4 linked regions of the Drosophila melanogaster genome follow. The protein of the gene in region 4 purifies or fractionates together with the protein of the main gene of each other region. This does not show direct contact. Each region holds a gene or a part of one and is shown on either strand. Other genes may lie near its edges.

The links.
Region 1: the proteins of Rab21 (region 4) and mtm purify together in Drosophila melanogaster (affinity purification with western blotting, with the first as the bait; one study listed by BioGRID). This does not show direct contact.
Region 2: the proteins of Rab21 (region 4) and Vamp7 purify together in Drosophila melanogaster (affinity purification with western blotting, with the first as the bait; one study listed by BioGRID). This does not show direct contact.
Region 3: the proteins of Rab21 (region 4) and Pi3K68D purify together in Drosophila melanogaster (affinity purification with western blotting; one study listed by BioGRID). This does not show direct contact.

Annotation. Positions count from the first base shown.
Region 1 is NT_033779.5:6,034,137-6,039,071, forward strand, and holds mtm (myotubularin), read right to left. Parts: upstream 2,880-4,935; 5' UTR 2,676-2,879; coding exon 1,142-2,675; intron 1,087-1,141; coding exon 761-1,086; 3' UTR 595-760; downstream 1-594. Other genes in the region: CG9109 (uncharacterized protein), read right to left, coding at 1-187; CG9117 (uncharacterized protein), read right to left, coding at 2,993-3,679; CG31643 (uncharacterized protein), read left to right, coding at 4,067-4,935.
Region 2 is NT_033778.4:9,840,310-9,844,172, reverse strand, and holds Vamp7 (Vesicle-associated membrane protein 7), read left to right. Parts: upstream 1-1,670; 5' UTR 1,671-1,872; intron 1,873-1,947; exon of another isoform or gene 1,948-2,005; 5' UTR 2,006-2,122; coding exon 2,123-2,326; intron 2,327-2,404; coding exon 2,405-2,633; intron 2,634-2,697; coding exon 2,698-2,765; intron 2,766-2,823; coding exon 2,824-2,979; 3' UTR 2,980-3,093; downstream 3,094-3,863. Other genes in the region: sting, read right to left, coding at 1-213, 270-369; Marc (mitochondrial amidoxime reducing component), read right to left, coding at 3,124-3,229, 3,303-3,589, 3,658-3,863.
Region 3 is NT_037436.4:11,786,998-11,792,222, forward strand, and holds the start of Pi3K68D (phosphatidylinositol 3-kinase 68D), read right to left. Parts: upstream 3,017-5,225; 5' UTR 2,925-3,016; exon of another isoform or gene 2,624-2,924; 5' UTR 2,544-2,623; intron 1,249-2,543; 5' UTR 1,216-1,248; coding exon 182-1,215; intron 114-181; coding exon 61-113; intron 1-60. Other genes in the region: twy (twitchy), read right to left, coding at 3,281-4,736, 4,802-5,225.
Region 4 is NC_004354.4:23,011,449-23,015,325, reverse strand, and holds Rab21 (Rab21), read left to right. Parts: upstream 1-1,916; 5' UTR 1,917-2,031; intron 2,032-2,061; exon of another isoform or gene 2,062-2,190; 5' UTR 2,191-2,219; coding exon 2,220-2,283; exon of another isoform or gene 2,284-2,344; coding exon 2,345-2,949; 3' UTR 2,950-3,186; downstream 3,187-3,877. Other genes in the region: Coa7 (cytochrome c oxidase assembly factor 7), read right to left, coding at 463-873, 1,218-1,507, 1,645-1,744.

The sequences.
Region 1 (4,935 bases), on a different chromosome or scaffold from region 4:
TCCCCGCCAGTTCCAGTGCCCGTTGCTGCTCCAGCACGTTGTGCGATAAGGCTAAACAATCACTTCTGGCCTGCTGAGGATGCGGGGGACAGGCGATAACCAGGAGCACCTCTCCTGGCTTGTTACTACCGCAGCATAAGCTTGCGAGGCACAGAAGCCCAAACAGCACACATATCCTAGTAGGCATAACTAATATCTATTGCGGAACTCTAAGAGTTCCGAACGCATTTCCTGATATTTTACAAACACCTGCCCTTTTCCTACCGGAAATCGGAACACGTCTGTCCCAATGAACGTGCGATGTCGTACTGAGGCAGCTGTGATTTAATTTTGGCGCAAAGCCGAAATGTTTTGTGTCCTGTGGTGTCAAAAGTGGGATTCGGGATTTAACGTGCGTAGTCCAACGCGCAGGCGCCTCTATGAAGCGGTGTTTATGAATGAATCACAAGGAGCGTGCAACAGTTGGTCACCTGTTTAGGTATCTTTTTGACATCCAAACTAGTTTAAGGCACATATAAAAGTAGCTCCACTGAGCTGCGAAAACGCTATACGATTTGAACTATATGATGTTATTCATGAAATAATTAAAACATTCTCAGACATTTAACACTTTAATTAGATTCGATAATGTGGTTCAATGATACAATGTTGAATCGACTAGTTTTCCATTTAAGAAAAACTTTTATTTGGAATTAGAACGTAGTTCACAATACGTGCACTACATATGCGTACAAGTAGGGGGAATAAAAAAGCAATACTATTAGTGCATAGGCGAGGCCAGTCGCGTAGTTGTCTGCATGCTGTTGCTGCGGTTGTTCGACTTGAGCCGCAGCTCGTTGACGAGCTTAAAGAGCTGGTCCTGCTTGGATAGCAGTTCGCGGGTTCGCTGGCAGCCATGCTGAGGAGCGCACAGACCAGGATTCCAGCGACAGTATAGGCCCTTCCACAAGCGGACCGATCTCACGCTGGCAATCGGACGCAGCACTAGCTCGGCGCCGTGCGTGAACGAGGGAAAGAGTGGATTCAAATACTGGTCCAGCGACGAGTTGATGTGCGTCCACAGGGATGTTGTCTTGTGCTTGAGATCTACAATAAATGTGAAAATTACTTCCAAGCCCATGCAAACAGCAATCAGTCTAACCTTCGGCCACACGCTCGGCCTCCGTGTTGCAGAGGAAGGTGCCGAAGCGGCACGAGTACAGATGATCCACGATGGTTATCAGGAAGTGCTCGTTGAACTCAAATGCGTTGTTGAACTGCTGGCTAACCTGCCAGACGCTATCGATAAATTGCAGGAACACCGGAGATCTGTCTGCATCCGAGTGCTTGTTGTCGCCGTGACCAATGCGTTGTTGGAACTTGTGGCCAAAGGAGAGCCACTCCTTCTCAATGAGAACCTCGAAACCGCGCACTGTGCGATAGTGCGGATCGAGCAGCAACATGGAAAGAGCAGTCAGCTGGGCTGTGCGATCCCAGCCGTCGGAGCAGTGAACTACGACGGAGGTGCTCATGGTCTCCACCTTGTCAACAATCCTAACGGCGCCGGCCAGGATGCACCTAATGTGCTTTAGCCACAGTGTGTTGTCAATAGCCGTCTGCCACTTTGAGTCGTCGGTGGTGGGGAAGCAAGCCTCCTTCACTTTGCGTAGGCTCTCCCGCATCACGTGGATGTTGTGTATGTCGAGGAAGTTGATTTCCACGTTCTTGTACGCGTCCTCTGACTCGTAGCCGCCGCCCTTGGCCTTGTTAGCAATCGCATTGGCGCTTGGTCGCGCATCCATGATGGTCAACTTGTCTGACTGGGCGTTCGCCTCCATGATAAAGCTTAGGTATGCTTCATCGTCGGAATTTCGCTTGCCACTTACACCCACCAGCGGCTGGGAACACCTTGTAATGGTCGCTTGAGTCCGTGGGTTCATCCAGGACAAAACCGGCAGGCGGCAGCGCGATCGGAACTGTGCCACGCGCCTCAGGAAATCATCGGAGGCCGCTTTGGGCACAGCCCACACGGCCGGATAGCTGTCGCAAATTGCGTAGGACTCGTTTAGCTTGGTCGCCCGCCACATATCGTTGGGAACGCCCAAGCGGCGCAGCTCCGCCAGCGGTTCATATACCGCCCAGCCGTCCCAGCCTCCGTTACCGTTCACAGAGTTGGCCGCGGCGTGGGCGAATGCAAAGAGGCGCCCACTGTACGAGAGCGGAAAGGCGTTGGCCTGCAGTTTCTCAAACACCGTCCTCCGCGAATGATTCTGCTGCTTGTGGGCGAATCGCAGGTTTCGCATGTCCTTGCAGAAAATCTCGATGCCGTACGAGTTCTCACCGCGAGACGTGGCACCTCCAATCTTCTCCACACGCGCGATCACGCCCAGAGGCACGTCGACGACGACGGGCGGCTCCTGATCCCGCAGGGGAAGCGACCGGAAGTACAGACGGTAGTTGGTTATGGTAAGAGCGCCGAAGACGGGGCCGCGGTACGGACACACGTAGGTCACGTCGTTCTTCTGGTCCTGGTCCTCTTCGCCCTCCAGATAGCCGAAGGGCGTGTCCCGCAGAATGCCGTTTTCTCCGCCACCGTGCTTGGAGCCCAGCGAACTGGACTTGGAGCTGCTGTCCAGAGAGTTGCTGCTGGCAGTCTTGGAGGCCAACTTGTCGGCCAGGCTCGCGGAGGGATCCATTTTCGGATGGACACGAGTGGTGTTTGGCTATTGTGTTGCTGGTTGCAGCTGTGTTTTCTTTTCCAATTGTTAGCTAAATGCAATTCACCAAAACTCATGCAGCAGTGCTGCCAACTCACGCAATATAAAATCATCTGGAATAATTTCCCATTCCTCCGACAAAAGTACCAAAGGGACATTATGTAGTGGCGGAAAATTTGATTTTTATGTATTGGAATTAATCAACTTATTTCAGACATTTAACTGGTAATCAAGGAAAGCTAGAACAATTCCGCTTTTAAAAAAATCTCTAACATATGTATTTAATGCTTAATAAATTAAGTGTTAGAAGTGGCGTCTTCTTTAAGTTTACAGCGCATTGATTGTGTGACAGAAAACATCGGACCATGTCCTGGGATTATAAACTCGCACAGTTGTGCCATTTTACTGCGCTCCTCGCGCTGCACCTTCTCGTTTTCGCTTCCAGCGTCCATCCAAATGTTCTCATCGTCGATGTCCTCGCGACGCTCGAAGAGATCTCCGGTGATACCGACCCGTCCACCCAGCTGGGAATTTTCCACAAGAACTGAAACGCAGCTGAGGGTGTGTCCTGGCGACCGCCTCACTACCACCTCGGCATTCGAATCTAGGGCCAGTTGCTCGTCTGGATTACCACTACCAAGGTGGTCCATGTAGAGGTCGTGATGTGAGGCACATGCGCCGACCAAATGCATTCGTGCCTTCTGAAACAGATAGTTGCAACCGATGTGGTCAGAGTGTCCGTGAGAGCAGACCACCACGTGGATGTCATCGACGCCTAGTCCCTGCTGGCCCAACAACGAACGCAGGTGATCTCCATCCCAGGCCGTCAGTGTGTCCACGATTATGTTGGTGCCATCCCGGCAGCGGACCAGTGTGCATGTGCAGTTAGCCCGCATGGCGGACTCGTCTCCTTCTTCTTGGCGAGAATAGCCGACCTGGAGCACGGTCACCTGGTTTCGTTGCGCAGGATCAGTGTATGCCATTGTTTAGTTGTTTAACAACGATAACGCTCTAGCCTATTAAATTATTTAGGGTCAGCTGCTTATCAGCTGTTGCTTACAAACAGAAATGTCAACTCGTCAACAACCTGTTGAAAACTAGAGTTGCCACTATGAAACTTTTGACGAAATAAACAAATTACTTACGAATTAAGTAATTACTTATCTAACTTGTATACCGCTAATCACAGTTCAGAAATTATTTTAAGTTTTTTTTTACACATTGATTCCATTATTGGTTTCAGTATAATGGAAATTAGGATTTCATGGCAACACCGACACCAGCTGATCGCCAAAAATTCACTCACATGTTTATACGGCGTAATTTTGTTATTATTCAACGATTTCTGAATAAGCGTGAGATAAAGTGGCATGTATCTGAACCACCTGCCGCGGACACAATGGAAGTACCTACAATACCTTCTGCGAGTGCGTCAGCTTCAGCTCCTGCGACGGCACGTTAACATTGGCGCAAAGCCGCCCATCCAAACAGCTGCCTTGCTGCCGGCATTGGGCCAAAAACTGAGGAAGCACTCGCAGCTGGTGAACGGAGATCTCCAAGACAAGTTTGGCGTGCCACGGGAACAGGATGCTCTTCTAACCCGACTGGAGGAGGCCAAGACGGGTAACCAGATTTTAGATGTGTTGGAGAGCTGTGACGGCCTGCAGAGCTCCCATGTGGTGATGGGAATCTCACTGCTGTGGAACATCTATCACGACGCGGAGCAGGCAAGTAAAGATGCCATCACGGATCGCGTGCTGCTTAACGTGCTCCCAAAGTTGGCCCCTTATGTACACCAACTGGAGATCGATGATCTCAGTAGATGCTACCTGTACCTGCGCAAAATGCATATACCAAACTCCGAGGCAGTCGTGGAGGCCGTGCTGACGAGATCTCTTCAATTAATCGAGTCACAAGTTGATGACGAAGTCATTCCCTTGACCTCCTTGTCTCGCCTCTCGGTGGGCATCAACTTGGAACGCGACTTCTTCACTCCGCTTGTGTGTAGGAACTTTATTCCGCACCTGGAACATCACATCAATTGGTGTCGCAGCGCAGAGCAGGTTCGCCTTCTGTCCACGTGCCTCTTTCAGCTACACTTTCTCATTGATGAGGAGCTGTTTACGCGCTTCAAGTTGCGCTTGACTGAAATGATGCAAAGCGGCGTCCTCAGCAGCGAAACCCCTAAGGCTCTTCTGAAGGTGATCCACATGCTGAATATTCCAGTGTGGTCGCAGAC
Region 2 (3,863 bases), on a different chromosome or scaffold from region 4:
CGGTAACCGAAATTCGAAAAAAAGCTACGAGAAGGAATCCCACAATCAGGTATATCGATCTGTTGTTATACGTGCACGAGCGCCGCAGGATTATCCACAGCCGATCCTCGGGCAAATAGTACCGCCCATTGCTCCCATATTCGACGACACAGCGGTACAAGCGAAGGAGCAGATCAGCCAAGAACACGGTGGCTACAATGCGAATAGAGGTGTCTGCAACGAATCACGACCGTAAAGATAATTTATGGCGTCCATCGGTCATCACTCACCAATATAATCTCCTATCATCTTTCGAAAATAAAAATATTTTCTGCCTTTTTCCGCGCGAACCGCGTTCCCCGCTTCGACAACGTTGCTAGCGATTGCCATTTCGTCTGCATACATATGTACGTCTCAAGGGTTGCCAGATCGATTTGGAGATCTCGCGAAAACTTCGCTGGAATTTCAAATGCCGTTAAATTATATATAAATTTGTTTATTGGGCTTGCATAGGTATACATAACTGAATTTGGGCTCCTAAATATTAATTACATTGCGTGCACATACAAATGCACATATTTATGTATGACGGAAGCAATGAAGGAACTACATTGTTATATCTTTTTATTATTATTTACTTTTGTGTTTGTTTATCAGGTATCAGATAAGATTTTATCAATATAGCCTCAAAGATTCGTTAATCAATTTGTATTCGAAATAAAACTTTAGGTAACAATGTCCGGTTCCGACTATCAGATACATATACAGACATGAAATCTGCTGACTGTAAAGCTCTCCGCCCTCTGGAACAAATATTCGTGAGAGCCGGAGCCAGCTCTAGACTCCTCCCAAAAACGCATATTGTTATTCTAGTGTCTTTGGTAAGAGGGTATACTAGATTCGTTGAAAAGTAAGTAACAGGTAGAAGGAAGCGTTCCCGGCCATGTAAAGTATATATATTCTTAATCAAGATCAAAATAATAAAAAATAACAAAGATAATTAAACATTAACAATGGTTAACCAATTGGTGGTTAATTAACCATCAACAATGGTTAACCATTACGCTCTTACTCTGCAACTTAAATACTGATAGCTACACCCTAAACGAATTATAAGATTTGATAAATGATCTTATTTAAGCATGCTTATTGTGTTCTAATATTAAATTCTATAGAAACCTTATCCTGTAAAAGGCTCAAAAAAGTGCAATCGTGCCATATTTGTGGCCAGAATAAATGAGAATTCTAAGTCTTTTAAAATAAGTAATTTTAAATCGAATATTTCGGCAGCATATGCGCATATTGAAACTACGTATATTGTATCTTGCGTGTGTACATAGTTTAAGTTATTACCTGCGGTTTTTTCTGTCAAAACGAATGGATCCAGGCTCAAAGATCTCAGGAGCAAAAGCTTGGGAACGCTATTAATTTAAATTTACTTTAATGGAAAATTCTTTGTCCGGGGAGAAGAATCTCAACTGGATGAACTGATGCTCTCGTCAATACTGAAACGCTATCGGTGGGATGCCCCTATTTAAGTTGCGGAGATCATTTAATTTAATAAGCAAATGCAAATAATCATAAGACCGTATAACATAATTTGTAAAACACGTTATGCAGTGTGACCGTGCGATAAAGCCAGACTTATCGGCTCCATTAAATATCGATGCGTCGATGTACCGTCCTTCCACCTCTAATTTTATAACTGCATCGAAGCGTCAGCAATTGTTGTTATTTGTAATGCAAAAATCGAGCTAATTCCACGGTATTGTGATGTTTTTATTGTGTTCGGCAAAAGCAATTGAAAATCGATAATAACTTAAGCCGCTTACCACAAAATGTAAATCTGCAGTTGCGCTATCAACTCGAGGCGGATCTAATTGGATAAACAAAGCAAGTACTTTGATATAACAATTTGCATATTACACATATATACGTATGTTACTCATAAACAGAGTTATTGTTCAGATTGATAGGCTCGCAATTGGATAGTAGTAGTTTCTAAATCGATATGTACATTTCTCAGAATCCGAGAGCACGTCATCATTGACGGATCGTCGGCTCATTCCCCGATAAGCAAAACAAAGCAGTAGCCTGAGGAGCTGAACAACCGCGCCCTTAGCAAAGGAGAATCTGTGGCACCATGCCGATACTATATAGTGTGATATCGCGGGGCACCACAGTGCTGGCGAAGTTTGCGGAGTGCGTCGGCAACTTTGCCGAAGTGACGGAGCACATAATCGGACGGATCGGGGTGCATAACCACAAGATGACCTACACACACGGAGACTACCTGATCCACTACACCTGCGAGAACAAACTGGTCTACATGTGCATCACCGACAACGTGGGTGAACGAACCACTGGCCCAATTAGCCACCTCAGTTGCTTATTGCCCAATCGATAACGTATCGTTTCTTTGTAGGAGTTCGAACGGTCGCGGGCCTTCCTCTTCTTGGCGGATATCAAGCAGAAGTTTATCCAGACTTACGGCCTACAGGTGGCCACCGCCATCGCCTACTCCATGAACACCGAGTTCTCCAAGATCCTGGCCCAGCAGATGGTCTATTTCAGTCAGTCCCGGGAGGTGGACACCATTTCGCGAGTACATGGTCAGATTGACGAGCTTAAAGACATTATGGTTAAGAATATTGGTATGAAGGAAGGAAAATCCGTATGTTCTTTTTGTTTACTATTCCCTTTTCATCCCATTTGCAGACAGCTTGCGGGATCGCGGCGAGAAACTAGAGCTGCTCGTCAACAAGACCGAAAACTTGAGCAATAATGTAAGGTGATGCCAAGCAGAGACTTTTAAATGTGTTTTTCATTTGATCTCTCTTACAGTCCGTTGCATTCCGTAAGGCCTCCCGAAATTTGGCTCGTCAAATGTTTTGGAAGAACATCCGCGTCTACGTGGTGGTGGGTCTGGTGATAACCTTCATCGTTTACGTGATTGTGAGCATGGCCTGTGGTGGCCTCGCTTGGCAGTCCTGTGTTTAGGACAAGCTTTAAAGTTGTTTATATTGTTATAGGCTCATAACACATGTATATTTGCATATAAAACTCTACAGTACTCTCATCTATGTTCTATGTAATAAACTTCAATGTATACCGGATAAAGTGTTAGAAGAGATAATGGAATATTCACTTGTCCTCCACATACACGACGTCGTTGGCCTTCACCTTTCCCGGCAGCCGAAGTCCCATATGAACGCCCAGAGCCGGCGAACTGTAGTTGAACAAGCGATAGCTGTGGATTCCAGATATGAGGGTCGGGTTTTGTAAGTCGTACTTCTCAGATATTTCCATGGGTAGTGACTCACCTTCTGAGCGTTTTGAGAGGCTCTCCTTCGGAACTCCTCTCTGCGGTCTTCGCATTAATGTTGGTAAAAATACAGCGAGTGCATGGCGCCACCGTACGGAAAACAGCATCTTCGCCTATACGCACCCACTGCCAATTGTCCTCGGCATAGGGCTCATCAACATCCATTTTCAGTTCGAAGTTACCTCGGAACTGCAGTGCATCCACCGGATTCTTTAACCGAGTATTAAGATCGGCGACCGACGAAAGGTTCATCAGCATAAAGCTGGTGGCATCGTTAAAAGTGCCCTATGGAAAGAATTCAAATCAAGGGTGATCTGGGTCCTAACACTTCGAATTGCGCATCAGGAACATACCGAGTCCTCCTGTCTAATGAATGGCATGGACTTTAGGCGGGGATTGGTGCATCTCACTGGTTTCGGATAGGGATAGTGAACTAGCTTGAGGCCGCTCTCCTTCTTCAGGATGGCCTGGGAGAACCACGTGTTGATCCGATCTCCGCAGGGCATCACGTCTATGGAAACGCCCCAAACGGAAGTTTTCACATCCTTGCCAGGACCGT
Region 3 (5,225 bases), on a different chromosome or scaffold from region 4:
TGGGGGGATTTCAACGAGGACCGGGAGCTACACGTTAATTACAACATTGAGGCTGCTTACCAGTATTGTCGTTTAGCAGGGGATCGAATGCCTCCAGCACACTCACACGGGAGCTGCAAAGCAGGATGTTTGAATGTTAAAAACACGAACTAATCATTTCTGAACACTAGTGGATACATACTAGTCCTCGTGGTTGAGGTCGATCAAATCGTTGCCCCTGCGTGGGACCGAGGAATGACCATTGTTTCCAGTGTGGCTACTAGAGCTAACCCCGACAGTCGAGGGCACTTGGCGACGCGCTGGGAAGGCTACTCCATTGGCCTCTGCGGGGGAGGAAGTGGAATGGTTGGACGGTTGGCTGTGATGATGACTTGTTGTCGGTGCTGTTTGTTGGGGAGCTGGTTGCGATTGGGGTCGACGCAAATCCATGTGCGTGTAAGCACCTCCAAAGCCATATCCCTGTGCGGGATACTGCGGCGGCATAAAAGCAGCCGATCCGGGAACAATGGGAGCCGTGTATGGAGTAACCACAGCTCCGGGATAGTACATATAGGCGTTTGGCTGCGGCACTGGAACCACGGCCATTTGAGCGGGCATGCTGTACAGCCGCTGCAGCTCCTCGCTGTTTAGTGGCCTCTGTTGCTGAGCAGCTGGTTGGTAAGGCACCAACTGCAGGTCACCGTAAGCCGGTCCACCAACAACTCCACCTGCAACCATGCCGTACGGTGTGGGCTGAGCAGCCGTTGGACGTTGCTGATGAGGTGGAAAGCCGTATTGAGGAGGAATCGAAGCCGACGCAACTGGACCCATTGGCACCAGGGCCGACTGCGGATTGGTCGGCTGCATCCGCTGCAGATCCTCTATAAGTTTGCCAAAGGGACTGCTACTCTCTGGCTGCTTGCTGGTGGGACTTGCGAAGCAGATCAGATCGTTATCCGTTCCCTGGGCCGGCGGTGTGCGCGATCGTTCCGCATTCTCCGGACTGATGGCCACCTGATGCACCTCCGAGTGCCGTCGTGGTTGATGTAGGCTCTGACTACGTTGCGCCGCCTGGTAATCTCGGCCAGCAACGGTGGAGCTTTGCTGATACCCGGAGCCGTACTTCTTGTTTCGCCTGTAGTCATCGAGGGCATGCTGCTCTAGACTCAGGGCGGTCGCCTTGGCCAGGTCATCCTGGAATTGTTTGTCGTAGTCGATATGCGCTTGATTTGACATTATCCCCTCGTCTAAAGCGTCCGGTCCGTTGAGCTGCGAATGGGAACCAGAACAAAATGTGAGCGATTTCCAAATTTTGTTAAAATTATTTTCGTATTTTCTCTTCCAATGCCTATTTGTTGTTGAACAAAGGTGTTTGCTTTTGGGATTGCTTATCTCTGCGATAACGAACAGGCGGTGATAAAAGTGATTATGCAGTGTAAATGGCAATGGTACTATATGAGTACCTGGACGAAGAACAGGTGAGATAGCATTCGATGGGGGGAAGACCACTTGCGACAGAGTGGGGGTGCCTATCACTAGTTTTTTTTTTTTAAGTTGCAAAGGAATATTCGCGATCGATAATGAGCCGTCATTAGCGGGCACCAATGATTCAGAAATTCAGAAAATAGGGGAGAACAGATTGATCGCTTTATTAGATTTGTAAGCTTCGAAATGGTTAAAAGGATATGACAACTGCATTTAAAACGTAATTACAAGGATTTGTGATAGCCAGGGCAGGGACAGGAATTAATTTTATATTTTAAAAAATATCAACTTCTAATAGAAAAGTTCGAACATCATTATGCAAGCATGATATTAAGTATGATTAGCAGAGTTTCGACATTCGGTACAAACATCAGCAAAACATTTTATCTTATTGTTTGTACATACAAATGTGGTAAATACTTGTGTACTTTGCACATAGAAACCATATCCAAGCGCTCCAAATTTGCGATTGCGATACAGCAGAGTGGCGCAAAAAGGCGCAATTGAGTGCGCGATTGTAAATAAATATATAAAAACAAACAAAAGCGGCGGCATCAATTTGCGTGAATGAATGCTGCGAGTACTGATTTCCCAGATTTTACACATATATACGAATATATGCAATATAAACGTATATATATATGTCAGCATGTAAGCGTTTTGATTTTTTCCCCATTGAAGCCAATCTCGTATGCAGATAGGAAACAGCTGTTTAATATAAACACACCCACAAAAGCACTAGTGTGTGTGTGAGTCCGTGTCGCGAACGGGGACGGAATGGAAGATAAGAAAATGCGAACCGGCTAGGAATAGGAAGCGAGGAAGAGAGAGCAAAAGAGAGGGTTCCGTGCGGCAAAGGTTAAGGTAAATCAATAGATTGCGAAAAAATTTTTAAAAACAATATTCATAAACAATAAATGAACCCAATTGAATGCCAATTTATTCCGGAGAACGTAAGAATAAAATTTAAAAAAAACGAATATCGGTGGAAGGGCGAAAGAAAATAATAATGGAGATAGTCATTAATATGCAGACTTGACTTCTGCTTTGTGATTCTCATCCGCATATTGCCAACTTACTTGCTTTTTGAGGTGTCACCTCCGCTGCTTTTTACACCCGTTGCTAGTCTCTTTTTGGTTGAGGTTTTCCCTTGACGGGGCTACGAACATAGACCATCCGGTTAATAGTTTTACACTTTTATCCTCGGTTGTTGTTATATTTGACGAATCACAATTAATTTAAACTTAACCAAAGGTTTTTTTTTTGTTTTTAGGAGAGTTGTTTTATCCTCCTACACACCTAAACACCTACACACATACATGCGAAACGACCATACACAAACACGAACAGAAAACAGTGACAAAAAACGGAATAGACGCAACACCAAAATACTGAACAAAACGTTATTTTCTTAGATTTTCTTGCACCATCACATATTATGTACAAATCAGTTAATTTACAATAAAAAAAAAACAATTATCTTGTGCGCAAGAACTTTAAACACGAACAGCACGAAATAACACAAAACGGAATGCAACAAGCAGTAGCGATGGTAAACGAATCGATATTGTTTGGCAACTATCGATGAAAGATACATCGAACAGATGTTTGAGTATTGGCTAATCATGTAGCCGGGTTTCACTCCATCAATTCAAATTTATTGAGTTTCTAACGAATAACAAAATACTTAACTTTCGAGCGATATGTAATCTTGTATCTTCATAGTTTGTTTATAAAACTTATACTAATTGCCAAGTAATACATTTATTTATCTCAGTTGTTATTATTTGTGCTTCCACAAATTTTTCCACAATATCTACATAAATGCTTCGTCCACATTCAGGCCGTGATCCATGGCCACCTTGGAGTCGTCGTCCAGCCCACCAGCTAACGTCAATAGATAGTCGGGATCATCGATTGAACTACTGGGGGGCGCATTGTACATCCTGCGGTAGGAGGCTTCGATGTTTTCGTCCAGCATTCGATCCACAATGTCACTCTGGACCTGTCCCGGTTCCTGGGACATTTTAAGCAGCAGCTCCGCATGACTGGGTGTCACTTGAGGCAGTTGAAGATCGGTGGCTGCTGTGGGATTTACATTTGCCCTTCGCTGGGCGATTTCCGCCGATTCCGCACCCATTTTGCAGATTGCACACCTGCTGCGAGAAATCTGCTTCTTCAGATTGACCAAAGCCATACGATCCTGCGCCACCAGCATTCGTTCGTGGGCCAGCTGTGCCTCCTTTTCCGCGATTTCCTGGGCCCGCTTGGCCATGACCTTAAGCTTGGCCTGGAGCAGCTGGTCCGCCTCCCTAGCCTTCTGCTCGGCCAAGTGTTGGCGACTAGTGGCTAGGCGGTAGGCGCCGGTGGCTTGGCCCAGTTCGTCCTCCTTGAGATTTAGGGCGTGCTCCTTATCCAGAAGATGGCGCTTGCGCTGCTCCATTTCGCGCTGCAGCTTGTGGTAGCGATCCCGCTCCTCATCCGCCCGCCGAATGGCTTCGCGTGCCACCTGCAGTTGGGCCTCCAGTTCCCGGCGATCTCTGTCTGGGTCGCCGTGCTCATTGAGCTGTTGTCTTAGTTCAATCTGCTGGCGTTCCACTGTCAGTTGATTGCGCTCCTCCTGGAGATCGTGGTGCAGTCGTTCCATTTCCGCAAGCTGCAGTGCTTTAAGATCCTCCACACGCTTCTCGTCCCGCTGCATTTGCTCGCGATGGAATTCTTTTTCGCGCTCGAAAGCCTTGCGCTCCGCTTCCAAGCTGGACATTCGTTGACGGAGCTGCCAGTTCTCTTCGGCTGACTCCTTGGACAAACGGCCCAGCTGCAGCTCCAAGGTGCTCACCAGTTCCATCAGGCGGCGCTTCTCATCGTCGGCCGTCTCCTCGTCCATCTTTAGACGCCTTTCCTGGTCGGCCAGGCGACGTTCTCGCGCCTCCAACTGCCGTTCCCTTTCCTGGTTGTCACTCATCCCGTCACGAAGTTCTTGAAGATTGCTGGACGCCAGACGCAATGTGTCCAGATAATTTCCATGATCCTGCACCGCCGACAACTCCACCATTTTAGCCTGACGAATACCCTCGAGGTCCAGCTCGTGGGATTGACGCAGCTTGCGCACCTCATCCTCATGATCTTGTCGCAGGCTGGAAATCTGCTCCACATAGTCCTCCTTCTGCTTCTCCAGTTTTTCGATGTAGTACTGCCGTAACTCGCTATTCTCGTCCTTGAGTCGTTTCTCTACGACGGACAAGTGCTCCTCCAGCACCTTGATTTGTTTTCTGGACATAAAATTAAATTCTCTTACTCATTTGCATTATTATTTCAGCAGCTGGTTAAAACTTACTTATATGAAGAATCTATCATTTCGATCTCCTGCTCATAGTTGACCTTCATGTTGGCCACCAGCTCATCGAGTCGCTGTTTCTCCAGCAGATTGCGTTTGGCATCCATTTCTAGCAGAAGCAAATGCTCCTGTTCCTGACTGGTCGCCTTGTGGTGCTCCTTCCTTTCCGGTTCCGGTTCCGGTTTCTCCACGAGCGGCGGTGTGGACACCACATCCTGTACACGCACTGGCTGCGACATCATCAGCTGGAGGTGCATGTTGATCCGCTCCTGCTGGCCTTTTATATGCTCCTCCATTTGCTGCTGTCGCTGCAGCTGCTGTTGGATTAATGCCTGAAACTTTCGATCCTGATCCTCTTGGCGACGCTGCATCTCCAATAGAGTCCGCTCTTGACTCTTCATTTGGGCGGCAATCACCAATTGTG
Region 4 (3,877 bases):
ATGTGCTAGATTTAAAAAAAAAATGAGGCTGTCGGATTAGCAGGCGATTCTGATCAGAAAAATGTACTGGTTCTTACATTAATATTAGAACAACAGTTTGTGCACAAGCAACCGTAACTAAAACACAATTAACTGAAGATTTTTGTCTACTTTTTTGGTAAGACTTGTTTGTATATTCATATAAGGTATCAACAAAATTTTTAAAGGGTTCATCATCACTTAATAACTTTAACAATTAAATCTAGGAATTTCCATTGTTACTTATTTTCTCTTTCTCGCTCTTTCGCATGCAAGTGCCAGCTATGTACACAGAAATCTCAAACACAAGTTAGTTAGCTTAACTACCAAAATTAGACTGACTGAAAATTACTGAAAAGGGCTAGAAGGTAAAGAAAAACCTGACCTGACCTGAAGCAAGGTCTAAAAACAGTAGCAGCAGATAATATCAGGAATCAAGCATTATCAATTAGGCATGCCCACGCCCTGCTGGAACCCTAACGTATCATGCTGCTTCTTCACCTCGTCCTGCATTTCTAGGGCCAGCTTCTTGTACTTCTCCGCTTCCTTTTCGTTCTTCTCGATCCCATCGCCCCGGGCGTACATCTGGCTAAGATTGGCACACGCATACATATTGCGAAGCTCGCAAGCCTTGTGGGCAAACTGGAAAGCCTTCTTCATGTCTTTTAGAACAATATAGTCGGAGTCCTTTAAAGGCGGTTGTCCGGCGGGGGGTGATGATGTACCACTTCCGGAGGATGCAGTGACAGCACTCTGATCCGCCTTCTTTTGCACGCCCGAGATGTGCATCCCGGAGAGATAAAAGCAGGCAGTGGCGTTGTTCAAGTCGCAGCTTTTGGTCAGAAACTCCAGGCCCTGCGGGTGTTGTAAAATTATAATGTCAAATCACAAAATCAAATAAAATTTAAACACTTTTCTGCTGGGGTCATATTGAACAGTTTTAAATTGGATCAAACTAAACTATATTCATACATATGTCTATACATCCATTGGAACATAATCAGAAAATTACAATTAAACGTTCAATTATCTGGACACGATACGAATGACTTATGATTTCAAGGATCAAATGAGAAACAGGTGGGGCAAATGAGAGAATGTACTGCAGCACATAGTTGCACTTTAAGCAAATTGAACAGTTCCAAGAGCTAGCCTTTTATTGAAGGCTTGGGACCGTGATCGCCATACGACACCTTTACCTTGGGCACATTCCAGTCGATCTCCCTAGGCATGGACTTTGAAACGAGCAGCAGGCCGGAGTGAAGACAGGCGTCCGAGTCGTTTAAGTTACAGCCCTTCTCGTAGTACTCGTAGGCCACTTGTGGATTCCCCTTGCTACCGCTCTTGCCTTTTCCAAGGAAACTGTAGTTGCCGTATTTGTAGCAGGACTTTGCGTAACCATAGTCGTCGCAAGTCGACTTGTACACCTTGGAGGCCTTTTCAAAGTCTTTCTTGATGCCCTCCAAGTAGTCGCCCAGCAAGTGGCACGCTGCAATGCAGAACGCCAGTTAGCTATCTCATAAATGCAATGTCTTCAAGCCCCGCGAATTGTCCTCCCGCACATCGGAGGTTATAGACCTCAATTGTTTTTGCCGCCGTCGCTATCGCTGCCGCCGCCGCACTCACCTTCCGGCTTCTTCTCGGAATAGCACCCGAATCGATATTCCACGCCCAGCTTTTCTACGTACTCCTTCACGTCTGACTCCTTCTTCAAGTCATAGGCCATGGTCAGCAATTTTTAATAGATAACAACCAAAAATTATTATGTTATGCTTCGTCCGGACCCCTGCGTGCTTCAGTGTTAGTAACGTGCAAAATATCGATTCATCGACACCATACTGCATACATTCGATGGTTTTATTGATATCGATGTTAGGCTATGCATCGATATTTTGCTCATAATTAAAACATGGTTTAATTTAAAATCGCTTAATTGTATTTTCTATCTTTCATGTATGACTGCGGCGACATTGAGTTCTCGGCCTTGCTTGAGGCCGCAGTGTGGCCAGATACGTATGTGACTTCTCGCTTATTCAACATTTATCGCCGAGTGCCATTACAATAGTGCTGGTAGACAGCCACACTGGCGGTCTCGTAAAAACCTAATCTTTTCGATTACCTCTTGTTTTTTTTTTGTTTTTCCGTGTCCTCTGAAAACTGATGCGTATCAAGGTAGGACACCTAGCTATTGGGAAACCACAATGAGCTCGAGCAGAACGAGGAACGGCCCCACGCTTAATTTCAAGGCGGTGCTGCTGGGCGAAGGTACGTTTAGCAGCTAAACAAACCTAATTAGTTCCTGAAAGCTTTAACCCCTTAATTGTAGGTTGTGTGGGCAAGACGTCGCTGGTGCTGCGCTACATGGAAGACCGGTTCAATGCCCAGCACCTAAGCACCCTGCAGGCTTCCTTTGTCAGCCGCAAGATGTCCCTGGAGGATGGGAGAAGGGCGCAGTTGAATATTTGGGACACGGCTGGTCAGGAGCGGTTCCACGCCCTGGGACCCATCTACTATCGCGGCTCCGATGGCGCCCTGCTCGTCTATGACATAACGGACCGAGACTCGTTCCAGAAGGTCAAATCCTGGGTGCGGGAGCTCCGGCAAATGCGCGGCACGGAGATTGCCTTAATAATCGTCGGCAACAAGACTGATTTGGAGGAACAGCGAGCAGTAACGCACGATGAGGCCCTTCAATATGCGCGCACGGTTGGCGCTCAATATGTAGAAACTTCGGCCAAGGAGAACGAGGGGGTGGCTGAGCTCTTCGAGCTCCTGACCCAGCTGATGCTGGAGCAGTTGAGCCAACGGCAACCGGATGCGAGTCCACTTCGCCTCCAGAATCCGGATACGGATAACCTTAACAACTCCGATGACTCGGAGGCCCCGGATCCCGGAGATCCTGCGGGCCAGCGGTCCTGTTGCGGCATTTAGCCGTTCCCATTGTGATAGTAATCATAACTATAAAATAGTAGACCTTTAACCGATGTTGATCTTGTGTATATATTATACATAGATAGATATAAATATAAATACGCGTATTTTTATTATTCCCTATTATGGATCTTTAAAATCCTCACACATTTTTGTTTATTAATAAATATAAATATGTATTTCATTCGATTTTCTTGCCCTTCCTGAGCGCCCAGTAATAAACAATCTTGTACTTGCACTTATCTTGTTTTGAGGCTTTTTGGGGGCCGGGCTGAATCATCGTTATCAGTTGAGGTGCTAATGGCTCTGCAAGGCGATAGGTGATTAATTTTAAACCGCACCAAGATTACAGTTTACGGCACTTTAAATATATGGTGCAATAGAAGACAATACATAAAGTTTTTATATATTTTTTCATAATTTTATGTAACGATCATATCATCGCAACAGCTTCTCCTATTAATGAAATTAATTGAAATCCAATTTCAAAACTGTTTTCGGCTACAATTAGTTACATATATAAGTATTCTAGTTTTATTTTGTTATAACAAAAAGTGAACGAACATATATGTATGTATTTACCCATTTAAGAATATATCCAATCTATAATATTCGGGCTATGTATGTACATATATGATAGTCTTCCATTTTATAACCGTTACTCGTGGTGTATATACTAGATATACTATATACTAGATTCGTTGAAAAGTATGTAACAGAACAGAACAACAGGCTGAAAGAAGCGTTTTCGACTATATGAGGTATATACATATATTCTTAATCAGAATCAATAGCTGAGGCGATCTAGACATGTCCGTCTGTCCTAGAGATATACATAGATGCCTCGCGAGATTGTTGGCCATATGCTGCCAAGCCCACTCTAACGCCCACAAGCCTCCCAAAACTGCTACGCCCACACTTTTGAAAA